3 linked regions of the Canis lupus familiaris genome follow. The protein of the gene in region 3 interacts with the protein of the main gene of each other region in a pairwise test. Links are inferred from orthologs where the notes say so. Each region holds a gene or a part of one and is shown on either strand. Other genes may lie near its edges. The genes, in order: MYOD1, MYF5 and ID1.

The links.
Region 1: the proteins of ID1 (region 3) and MYOD1 interact in a two-hybrid assay, tested with the Homo sapiens proteins (5 studies listed by BioGRID). The link is inferred for Canis lupus familiaris from reciprocal best matches to the Homo sapiens genes ID1 and MYOD1.
Region 2: the proteins of ID1 (region 3) and MYF5 interact in binary tests that used the Homo sapiens proteins (3 or more experiments, as listed by UniProt). The link is inferred for Canis lupus familiaris from reciprocal best matches to the Homo sapiens genes ID1 and MYF5.

The regions. Positions count from the first base shown.
Region 1 is NC_049242.1:40,920,060-40,923,893, forward strand, and holds MYOD1 (myoblast determination protein 1), read left to right. Parts: upstream 1-1,385; 5' UTR 1,386-1,604; coding exon 1,605-2,234; intron 2,235-2,712; coding exon 2,713-2,791; intron 2,792-3,039; coding exon 3,040-3,290; downstream 3,291-3,834. UniProt on the Homo sapiens protein: Acts as a transcriptional activator that promotes transcription of muscle-specific target genes and plays a role in muscle differentiation. Together with MYF5 and MYOG, co-occupies muscle-specific gene promoter core region during myogenesis.
Region 2 is NC_049236.1:23,285,896-23,290,168, forward strand, and holds the start of MYF5 (myogenic factor 5), read left to right. Parts: upstream 1-1,411; 5' UTR 1,412-1,541; coding exon 1,542-2,042; intron 2,043-2,647; coding exon 2,648-2,723; intron 2,724-3,126; coding exon 3,127-3,317; 3' UTR 3,318-4,273.
Region 3 is NC_049245.1:21,592,985-21,596,709, forward strand, and holds ID1 (DNA-binding protein inhibitor ID-1), read left to right. Parts: upstream 1-1,233; 5' UTR 1,234-2,083; coding exon 2,084-2,506; intron 2,507-2,726; coding exon 2,727-2,768; 3' UTR 2,769-3,167; downstream 3,168-3,725. UniProt on the Homo sapiens protein: Transcriptional regulator (lacking a basic DNA binding domain) which negatively regulates the basic helix-loop-helix (bHLH) transcription factors by forming heterodimers and inhibiting their DNA binding and transcriptional activity.

The sequences.
Region 1 (3,834 bases), on a different chromosome or scaffold from region 3:
GCAAGCCTTCTCCAGAATACAGCCTTGCACCTCCGACTGAGGACCTCCACATCTTTTGGTGTCTTTAGATTCTCACCACCACCACAATCGCTCCAAGAAATCGCTCTTATTATCTCCAAATTTACAAACTGGGGAAACGGGAGGCTTGGAAGGCGATGTGACTTCCGCAAAAATCACACAGGAAAACTGTGGGATCCAGATTCGGACTTAGGTCATTGGTCTGCAAGCTCTACTCTCAAAGATTCCACTCTGATGTGGGGTTCCCAGGCTGAGTCCCGACGCTCCAGGCCTTTGCGCAGTGAACTTCGCTGGTGCAGCGCTGCACGCAACAAGGAGGCAAAACCGGAGCAGACAGTTTTCTTCCCAGTTGAAGACACATCTCCACCCAGCCCCGCACTGGACACTCCGCTGCGGAAACACACAGGTCGAGCTGGGCAGGAGTGCACTTCCCTGCCTCCAGCCTGGGGCAGGACCTGGGCTTGGCGAGATTGGCGCCAAGGGTCAGCAGCCATCCTCCTCTTCTGCACCATGCGGCTCTGTTCCTAGGCGGGCGGGCGGGGAAGGTGGGCTGGGCCCTCCGCCCTCTGAGCGACTCCCCAGGTGGGAACTGGCCGAGGACCGGCCGCCGCATCCAGTTTATCTCAGGTTCGCCCCCCCCTTTTTTTTATTTATGATAGTCACACACACACACAGAGAGAGAGGCAGAGACACAGGCAGAGGGAGAAGCAGGCTCCATGCACCGGGAGCCCGACGTGGGATTCGATCCCGGGTCTACAGGATCCCGCCCTGGGCCAAAGGCAGGCGCCAAACCGCTGCGCCACCCAGGGATTCCGGTTCGCCCCCAGGACTCTATGTCTCGCCGCAGGTTTCTCTGCTTCTGCCTCTAGCTTTCTGCTCGGTCTCTATCTCTTGGCCGTATCTCTCACTGTCTCACTATCTCCGCTCTGAGTGTGTCTCTGCCCCACTGCCACGGGTCTCTCTCCAAATCCCTCGCGATCTGTTCTACTCATCCCCTGCACCTGGGTCCCCCACAAATCCTAGGACAGAGGGAAGCCCAAAGTCAGCTTGGAGCTGGGCGCGCGCGGCCAACATTTTCCGAGGGCGCCGGACGCGGACGGCGCGGGGAGGTTTGGAGCGAGCGCGCCCGCGAGCCGAGTGCAGCCGCGTGGGGCTGCCAGCCTCTGCCTCGCTCCCAGCCCGGGGAGGGGCGGGAGCGCGCGCGCGGGGGTCGAGGGCTAGGGGGCTGGCCAGTCTCCTGCCCCAGCGGCCACCCTGGGGATCCCAAGCTCCTCCCCACCCCGTTTCTATTGGCCTCGGGCGCCCCCGCCCCCAGCCGCCCGCTCCCGCTCTGGGGCCCTTTAGCTACTACGGGATAAATAGCCCCGGGCGCCTGGCGTGAGGCTAGGGGTGGGGAAGCCCCGGGGCGCTGCAGCCGCTTTCCTCACCGGCGCATCAGGCCCGACAGGACCCGGCGGAGGGGGGGAAAGTCGGGTGTCCATTCAGACGACCCCGTACTTTACCATCGCACGGCCAGGGCTGCGGAGAGGCAGAAAGTTTGGGGCAACCCCTGGCGAAGCCGGGACTGCGCCACCCCCTGCCGGGATATGGAGCTGCTGTCGCCGCCGCTCCGCGACGTAGACTTGAGCGGCCCCGACGGCTCCCTCTGCAACTTCGCCTCGGCGGATGATTTCTACGATGACCCGTGTTTCGACTCCCCCGACCTGCGTTTCTTCGAGGACCTGGACCCGCGCCTCGTGCACGTGGGCGCGCTCCTGAAGCCCGAGGAGCACTCGCACTTCCCTGCGGCCGTGCACCCTGCGCCAGGCGCGCGCGAGGACGAGCATGTGCGCGCTCCCAGCGGGCACCACCAGGCCGGCCGCTGTCTGCTGTGGGCCTGCAAAGCGTGCAAGCGCAAGACCACCAACGCCGACCGCCGCAAGGCCGCCACCATGCGCGAGCGGCGCCGCCTGAGCAAAGTCAACGAGGCTTTCGAGACGCTCAAGCGCTGCACGTCCAGCAACCCGAACCAGCGGCTGCCCAAGGTGGAGATCCTGCGCAACGCGATTCGCTACATCGAAGGTCTGCAGGCGCTGCTGCGCGACCAGGACGCCGCGCCCCCTGGTGCCGCCGCTGCCTTCTACGCGCCTGGCCCGCTGCCCCCAGGCCGTGGCGGCGAACACTACAGCGGCGACTCCGACGCGTCCAGCCCGCGCTCCAACTGCTCCGACGGCATGGTAAGGCCAGGACCCCGAGCTAGAGAAGTGAGGGCAGCTCTTGCTGTATCTGGGACGCGTTGCACAAGGCGGGGAGTTGGCCCTCCAGAGGGAGGTTTGGGCCGGGAACCTTCTGGGGAGTGGACCCTGGTGTCCTGAGCAGCCGTCACCGGGGTGGCCTGATGCTCTGGGGGCGCACGGGACAAATGCGATCCACCCGGCCGGGGGCGCTGTTAGAGCTCTGCTGCAGCGACCTGGAGTTGTGCTTTTCTGCACTCATCCCTATTTACAAAATAGACTTATGCTCCTAGGCGACTGTCCACGCGCTGGTTGGCCCGGGAGATTGCAGACAATCTCCGTCCGCCCCTGTCCCCCAGCCAGGGCCCAGATCTCGTGGCGGAGACATGGGGAGTTGGGGCAGGTGGTTACAGAGAGTGATGCTCTGGCCCCCCGCGGTCCCCGAGCCTGACTCGGTCGCCCTTGCCCTTGCCGTTTGCAGATGGACTACAGCGGCCCCCCGAGCGGTGCCCGGCGGCGGAACTGCTACGATGGCACCTACTACAGCGAGGCGCCCAGCGGTGCGTATTTGCGCCTCCTTCCCACGTTACCCGCTTTGAGCTGCCACGGCTTCCCTCTATCTGGACCTCCCCCTCCCCCTAATCCCGGAGACGGTACAGGGAATGAAATACTAAGCGTGCAGCCCACTCCCTTTTCGCTCCGTGCTCTCCCTGGGTCCTCAGGTTCCCGTCTGCCCCCAAGCACTGAGCCCGGAGGCGGGAGGCCTGTCCGCGGCTCAGCCGCCACTAACCCACCCCTCCCCGCGCAGAACCCAGGCCCGGGAAGAGTGCTGCGGTGTCGAGCCTCGACTGCCTGTCCAGCATCGTGGAGCGCATCTCCACCGAGAGCCCCACGGCGCCCGCGCTCCTGCTGGCCGAGGCGCCGCCGGAGTCGTCTCCCGGACCGCAGGAGGCCGCCGCCCAGAGCGACGCGGAGCGCGGCGCCCCCACCCCTTCCCCGGACGCCGCCCCGCAGTGCCCAGCGGGCGCAAACCCCAACCCCATCTACCAGGTGCTCTGAGGGGGTGGGCGGCCGCATGGGAGGCCTCCGCTGCCCACGCGCCCGAGGGACGGCGCCCCCCGCGCCCCAAAGATTGAGCTTAAACGCCAGCCCCACTCCCAACCGCGCTTTAAAAGCGACCCCTCCCGAGTTGGGAGCGGAGGGAGAACTGTTTGTGTGTTTCCACTCCCGCGCTCCACAGTAAGGACACAGTCCTTTTTTTCCACGCAACACCCTTCCCTGAGACTCGCTGCGATGGCCTTTAGGGGTCCCTCCTTGGGCCAGAGCTGACTCTTGAGGGGCCAGACCCTTCCCCTTCTTGCGCGGGGTGGGACCCGCGCAGACCTAAGCCCCGCCTCCGGGCGCCGGGGGAGCCTAAGGGGGCGTGGCCACTTCTCCCCGAGCCCCGCTACTTTGTAGCCTAAGGGGGCGTGGCCTCTTCTCCCCGAGCCCCGCTACTTTGTAGCCTAAGGGGGCGTGGCCTCTCGCTCCCCAGCACCGGCGACTTTGCTCTGCCCCGGCGCTGCGCGAGGTGCGCTCGTGTAACACTAACCACTCCACCCTC
Region 2 (4,273 bases), on a different chromosome or scaffold from region 3:
GGAGGGAGGCGGCGCCCCTGAAGCTCGGTCCTGGGCCGCCCCGGGCCCCGCAGAGGCCCGACCCCAGGAGGAGGCGCCCGGGAGCTGGTGCAGAAGGGGGCTGGGGGGGGGGGCGGCCGGGCCTCGGAAGGACTCCCCCCGCCCCATCCGGGAGCCCCGGGCCCTAAGGTGACCTCATCGCAACACCACCGATGTTTAAGAACCTAGCTTCACTGCACGATTCAGAGGGTCGCCTCCAAGCTTTCAGCAACCGTTATTCGATCCACTGATGGGGGGGGGGGGGGGGCAAAAAACAAAAAACAAAGAAAAAACAAATCCCTGAGCTAACTAAAGTTCGTGTAGAGCACAGAAAGCACCTAAAAATAAGGTGCGTGCTCACGTCCAGGATCGGGAAGGCAGGGAGGCGCGTTGGGGCGTAGCTTTTAGGTCCGAGCGGCTCCGAAGAGTCGGACGGCTTCGTCCCTTTGTCTGCACGCGTCTTTAAGTGACCCCGGGGTCCAGGGGCTCCAGGGAGTGCACGCAAGGGCGGGGGTGGGGGCGCCCCGCCGAGGCCCCGCCGCACGAAAACCATTAGTCCGAGGGGCCGTAAACAGCAAATCGGCTCCGGGCCGCGGCGGGATATGCTAATAGTGCGGGGCCGCGGGGGCGGCCTCCCGCCCTCCCTCCCCGGAGTATATAAGGAGCCCCAAGCCCCGCTCACCCGGCCCGGGCCCCAGGCGCTCGCCCCGCGGAGCTGCGGAGCCCCGACCCAGCCGCCCGCGCAGGCGGCGTCTCTCCGTCTCTCCCGTCCCTCTTGTCTCTCCCCTTTCTCCCCATCTCTCCCATCTCTCCCCATCTCTCCCCATCTCTTCCATCTCTCCCCATCTCTCCCATCTCTCCCCATCTCTTCCATCTCTCCCCATCTCTTCCATCTCTCCCCATCTCTTTCATCTCTCCCATCTCTCTCCATCTCTCCCCATCTCTCCCATCTCTCCCTTTTCTCTCCATCTCTCCCCATCTCTTTCATCTCTCCCATATCTCCCGTCTCTCCCATCTCTCCCCATCATTCCCTTTTCTATCTTTCCCCATCTCTTTCATCTCTCCCATCTCTTCCATCTCTCCCATCTCTCCTGTCTCTCCCCATCTCTCCCATCTCTCCCCATCTCTCCCTTTTCTATCTCTCCCCATCTCTCCCATCTCCCCCATCTCTCCCCATCTCTCCCCATCTCTCCCATCTCTCCCCATCTCTCCCATATCTCCCGTCTCTCCCATCTCTCCCCATCATTCCCTTTTCTATCTTTCCCCATCTCTTTCATCTCTCCCATCTCTCCCATCTCTCCCCATCTCTCCCTTTTCTATCTCTCCCCATCTCTCCCATCTCCCCCCATCTCTCCCATATCTCCCCATCTCTCCCATATCTCCCCATCTCTCCCATCTCTCCCCATCTCTCCCATCTCTCCCATCTCTCTCCCATCTCTCTCCATCTCTCCCGCCTCTCCCGCCTCTCCGGTCTCCCCTCCCTCTCGCCGCCGCTCCCGGGCGCACGCACCCCTGGCTTCAGCATGGACGTGATGGACGGCTGCCCCTTCTCGCCCTCCGAGTACTTCTACGACGGCGCCTGCATCCCGTCCCCCGAGGGCGACTTCGGAGACGAGCTGGAGGCCAGGGGGGCCGCCTTCGGGGCGCGCAGAGCGGCGCTGCCGGGCCCCGACGAGGACGAGCACGTGCGAGCCCCCACGGGCCACCACCAGGCGGGCCACTGCCTCCTGTGGGCCTGCAAGGCGTGCAAGAGGAAGTCCACGACCACGGACCGGCGGAAGGCGGCCACCATGCGCGAGAGGAGACGCCTGAAGAAGGTCAACCAGGCCTTCGAGACGCTCAAGAGGTGCACCACGACCAACCCCAACCAGCGGCTGCCCAAGGTGGAGATCCTCCGGAACGCCATCCGCTACATCGAGAGCCTGCAGGAGCTGCTGCGCGAGCAGGTGCAGACCTACTTGGGCCTGGCGGCGCCCAGCTGCTCCGAGCCCACCAGCCCCACGTCCAGCTGCTCCGACGGCCTGGTAGGAGCCCCCGCACCCCCCTTAGCCCCAGTCAGTAGTTACCGGTGGAGACGGGGGTGCCCGAGGGCAGGGGGGCTTGCCGCACTGGAAGGGCGCCAGGCAACAGCTGTCGAGCGGGATGTCCGCTTGCCCTCCGCCCAGGTTCTCGGAAGGTCGGAGGGAGGGTGGGCATGCGAGCGAGGTGGCCAGTGACCGGTGACACGTTTGTGCCCCCGGCCCGGTCCCTGCCCTGCTGAGGCCCTGCTGGAGAGAGATGGGGCTGCATTCTTCTCAGAGGGCCTTTGCTCCGTCCCTGCCAGGTTTTAATGGGTTTTTGCCCTGGGAAAGTATTCTCTCCCTGAATTACTGTGGCTTCCTTCTGCCCCAATCCATTTTGCATGGTTAACCCCACGCACATTGCTGCTGAATTCCACCCCCGCCCGCTTCCCCTTGCCGGGCTCTCTCCTCCTGGCGGCCTCAGAGTCTGACCTCGCAGCCCTTAGGGCCTGGGGAGGCCACGAAGGGGACGGAGGGCCCCCCCGCCCCCTGCGGACCTAGTCAAGCACAGGTCCGAGCATCTTTTGCCAAGCCCTGCAAACACACTTGCTTTGTGTCTTGTGTCGCAGCCCGAATGTAACAGCCCTGTCTGGTCCAGAAAGAGCAGCAGTTTTGACAGCATCTACTGTCCTGATGGGCCAAATGGTAAGAATTGGTGGGACCTCAGAGGAGTTTAAGAATCAGGTCGACTTCGCAGTCGGGCCTGTCAAAGCAGTCTGGTTTCCCAGGCTGTACTGGAGAAGGGAATACAAAGGATGCTTCCTATGGGGAGGTTTTGGCACAATCACGCACATCTTTTGGTCAAGTCCCCCCTCACAGACGCACACATGTGTGCTTTTGCTGGCAATTTTACTAGGGGGCTTCTCCGCCCCCTGCGTTCACTCCCATGAGTGGCTGGATATTTGTTACAAATGTCCACGTCCGGCTTTCTGTGACCACCTGACCCCTGGGGGTCAAAGTTGCTGACCTATACAGTTTACGGGGCCAGAAAGCCAGTCTCTCTATCTGAGATTTTTTTTTTTTAATGGTTTTCTCCTTGTGTTCTTAGTATATGCCACAGATAAAAGCTCCTTATCCAGCTTGGATTGTTTATCCAGCATAGTGGATCGAATCACCAACTCCGAGCAACCTGGATTGCCTCTCCAGGACCCGGCCTCCCTCTCCCCAGTTGCCAGCACGGATTCCCAGCCTGCAACTCCGGGGGCCTCTGGTTCCAGGCTCATCTATCATGTGCTATGAACTGAAAGTCTAGTCTAGATCAGTTCCATGAGGAGGGCCTATTACGCAGGAGGAAGGAAGCCCCGAAAGTCCAAGAGCAAGACAAGTTGTATATAAAGATTTCCTTTGCGTTGTAAATGTGTAAATACCATCTTGCCACTTTATACGAAAGTGTATTTAACTAAAAAGTCACCATTGCAATTAATACTTTATTCCTTTTCTCCTCCTCCTCCACCTCCTCCTTTAGCTCCTTCTTTGCTTTAGATATATAGCTCCAATAATATTCTTTCCGATAGGGGGCAATTCATTGAAGATAGCTTGTTGCAATGCTTAACTTATATATTTTTTATAAATATTGCTAATCAAAATATTATGTCTGATGTTAGATCTTTATTTTTTTTTCTTTAAAACATTAGGACAGCTGGAAATCAGTTACAGGAAACCTTAAATATATTTAACTTTTGTTTTCCTATTAACCTTTTGGTGATATTGTATTAAGTAAGAACGTAACAAAAAAAAAAAAAAGTAAGAACGTAACAACACTGCCTAACGGTATCTATTTTGGTCTTTTCTGATTCATGTTTTTTTAAAAAGAACACCCCTAATGGGATTAGCAATCACTGACACAAAACCTTAAGGTGGTCCTGAAAATAACAAAATAGCTGGCTTTGTGTATACATTTGAACGTTTACCATCTCTCAGTCGCAGCTGAGGTCCTGTTGATGTCCCAAATGAAGAGAACATTTCTATTTTAATCAGCTTTCACGGGAGCCTGCTAAATACAATTTTTCCCTTATCTTAGCACCGTGCCATCTAGTGTCAAATTGTGAGGGCGTGGAGGAAAAGTAGAAGTTATTCAGGACAAGACAACATGTTTCAACGAAAATAAAGTACAATATTACATCATTTTAATACGGTACATTAGGAATCTTGAGTTAGATAATACGTACTTTATCTACTTGCCTGAAAATATCTCG
Region 3 (3,725 bases):
GGTTCTCCCATGTTGAGGCAGAAGCCAGGTTTACTGGCCCCCTCCCCCAGACTTCTGTGGGAAAAGGAAACCTGCTGATGCCCAGTGAATTAATTGCTGGGGGATGGGGAGGAGGAGGGACCATAACCATAATACCAACTCTCTCCGTGGTGGGCAAAGTATTTTAGCCATGCCAAAGCTCCACGTCCTTGGGTGGCTATTCTAGACATTGGTGTCTCCAGCTTCTGGCCAATCTGGGGCTCCAAAAGCTCCGACTCCCTACCCTGGAAGGAAGGGATTGCGTTACAATAAAGTGCCCCTGTTAAAATAATGCAGCCATTACAAGAGCTATGCCTCTAGGGAGACTTTTCGGGCCTCAGTTTCCTCCTTTGCATAAAGAAACCAAAGAACTCCTCTCTAGAGTTGTGACTAGGATTACAGACGATGATAACGGCAATGGCTTTACACACAATGAAATACACGTGCCTTGCACGAACTAAGAATTCAATAAGCCACTTTGTCATTAATATCAAAATGCCAGGCAAATGCTATATTAGGAATCAGAGACGGGGGAATCCCTGGGTGGCTCAGCGGTTTAGGGCCTGCAGAGGGCCCAGGGTGTGATCCTGTAGACCCGGGATCGAGTCCCGCGTCGGGCTCCCTGCGTGGAGCCTGCTTCTCCCTCTGCCTGTGTCTCTGACTCTCTCATGAATAAATAAATAAAATCTTAAAAAAAAAAAAAAAAAAAAAAAGGACTCAGAGCCGGAGACAACTAACTTCACCCAGCAGCAAAGTTGGGATGAGAACTCTCCCCCCGCAGCCAGGGTGCCGAGGAAGCGGTGAAGAAACGTCCCAGGGGCCTGAGGTGTGAGCCCGGCGGGGCGATTCCCAGGTGTGGGGCAGGGAAGGCGACCCTTGGCCAGAGACCGCGCCCGCCAGGAGCGCATTCCCGGCTTCCCGCCCGGGGTCCGCAGGTGACTGGCCGAGCGGGGCGCAGTGGGGGAGCGCTCGAGCCGGGTTTGCCGTCTCCATGGCGACCGCCCGCGCGGCGCCAGCCTGACAGCCCGTCCCGGTTTTATGAATGGGTGACGTCACGGGCCTGGCGTCTAACGGTCTGAGCCGCTTGTTCAGACGCTGACACAGACCCGCCCGGGAGGTGGGGGGCGGGGGGGGGGTGAGCCTGGAGCTCGGCAGCTGCCGCGCCGTGGGAGGGAGACCCTGATCGGAGGTCTTGGGGGTGGGGGGGAAGGGGACAGGAAACAGCCAAAAAAGGGAGAAAAATTCTAAAATCACTAGTTGATGCAGATTTAGGGAATCTTTGCAGGAGATGCAGCCCCCCCTGGGGGCCTTCTATCTAGTTCATGTCCCAGAGGATCCGCCCCCGATCCTAGAGGAAGACTTTCCCGAATTAATTGCTCCCACCCAGAGGGGCCTGGGTAAAGCCTCCCAGGTCCCAGGAACATTAACTAGCAACCTTCTCTGGGAATTGGGTAAGGGAGACCAGCTTTGGGGAGCAGAGGGTAAAGGAAGGCCGGCTTTAAGTTTTGTGCCAGACCCAAGAGGTCGGGCTCCCAGAAGCCCAGGCTCTAGTCGTGGGCTCTCTAGATAAACCAGAGCCAGCCGCTTCCGCACTGAAGCCTCAATTTCTCCCATCTGTAAAATGGAGCTGGAGAGGTGAGAAAATGAACCTGAGAAAAGTGATTCCAGAAGTCTTCGTTGTCGGCAATGCGTCCTTTGCGAGAAGCCCAAGGTAGCCCTCGCCTGCCACTAGCCACCCCGCCCCGTGCCCTTCCACTCCCGGTTCCTGAGACTCGGGCTCCCTTTCCGAGGCTGCGAGGGTGCACTCGTGGAGCAGGAGGCGGGCCCCAGAAGCACCGAAGGCCACGCCTCAAGACCGCCCATTGGCTGCTTTTGAACCTCTGAGCCCGCCTCTGGCGGCGGGGCAGAGGGGAGGGGGGGGAGCCGCGGCGTCTCTATAAAAGCTGCTGCGGGGGTGCCGCGGGCGCACTCTACAACCGCCTCTCCCCCGCCCCGAGGTCCAGGCTCCCGCCGGGTGACCGCCTCCTTGCGCTTCGGCTCCCCGCTCTTCTCCGACGCCAGCATCATGAAGGTCGCCAGTGGCAGTGCCGCGGCCGCCGCGGGCCCCAGCTGCGCGCTGAAGGCCGGCAAGACGGCGGGCGGCGCGGGCGAGGTGGTGCGCTGTCTGTCCGAGCAGAGCGTGGCCATCTCGCGCTGCGCGGGGGGCGCCGGGGCGCGCCTGCCCGCCCTGCTCGACGAGCAGCAGGTGAACGTGCTGCTCTACGACATGAACGGCTGCTACTCGCGCCTCAAGGAGCTGGTGCCCACCCTGCCCCAGAACCGCAAGGTGAGCCGGGTGGAGATCCTCCAGCACGTCATCGACTACATCTGGGACCTGGAGTTGGAGCTGAACTCGGAATCCCAAGTCGGGACCCCGGGAGGCCGGGGGCTCCCCGCCCGGGCTCCGCTCAGCACCCTCAACGGCGAGATCAGCGCCCTGGCGGCCGAGGTGAGAGGAGCATTTTCTTTCAACAGTTGGGGACACAGGCCCCGAGGGAGGCGGAGGGGGGTGAGCCTTGGCTCTACAGCCGCCCCATCCTTCCGGGCACCTGGCTGTGCAGGGATGCCCAAGGAGATCGGAAGAAGCGCGCTCTCAAAAGCGTCTCCTGGGGAAGGTGTTGCAGCCTCGTCCCCTCCGACCCGCCCGTCTCACCTCTCTCGTTTCACAGGCGGCGTGTGTTCCGGCGGACGATCGCATCTTGTGTCGCTGAAGCGCCTCTCTCCAGGACTGGCGGACCCCAGCCCTCCAGGGGGCGAGAAGAACCCGTGCTCTGATCCTGCCGAGCGCCTCGCTGGAGCTGGGGAGGACACACGATTGAGCTCGGCGACCGGTGGGGCGCTTGCTGGATCCAGCCCAGGGCCCGGGACGGAGGGCTGACCCTCCACCTACCAACCACCAGAGACTTGGGGGACCCCTCCCCAGTGTGTTTCTATTTTTTGAAAAGCAGACATTTTAAAAAATGGTCACGTTTGGTGCTTCTCAGATTTCTGAGGAAATTAATTGCTTTGTATTGTATATTACAATGATCACCGAGAATATTGTTTTACAATAGTTCTGTGGGGTGGTTTTCTTTTTTTGTTATTAAACAAACACTTTAGACTACGGTAAAGTTGCAGTGATTTTTTGGACTGAGGGGAGGGCCTTGGGATGCGGGTGACCCCTGACTCTCTTCACAGCTGGTGCTGGGGTTTGGGGGAGGGGTACTTAGAAGGCCACATCTGGACTGTCGGTTTTACCGACCTGAACTGAGTGTTTTCCGGTGTCTTTAAAGTCTATTCTTTCCCCATCACTGGTCATTTCCCTGCTCCCTGGTGTCATAAAATTAAATCCTCTAGACCTCTAGGGTTTCTCCAAGCGGTCTTGGGCCATCTGGGTCACCTGGGGGAGGTTGTTAAAAATGCAGATCAACCTGCCAAGGCCCACTGTCACTTTAAGTATTCAACAGGCCATTTAAGTTGGAGAACCAGGTCACTGAGCCGCCTCCATCTTTGCCAACATAGGGGAAGGGGAGACCAAGACCTAGAGGAGAAAACTTGCTGAGAGCCTGTCTGAGGCAGGACTTCTGTCGCCCCATTCCCCAGTGGGAGGTGCCTCCCCAGTTGGGCTGCCTAGCCCTGGATTGTAGCAGGCTGCCCTGGGGCTCCCAGCTTGTCCAAGTGGGTGAGCA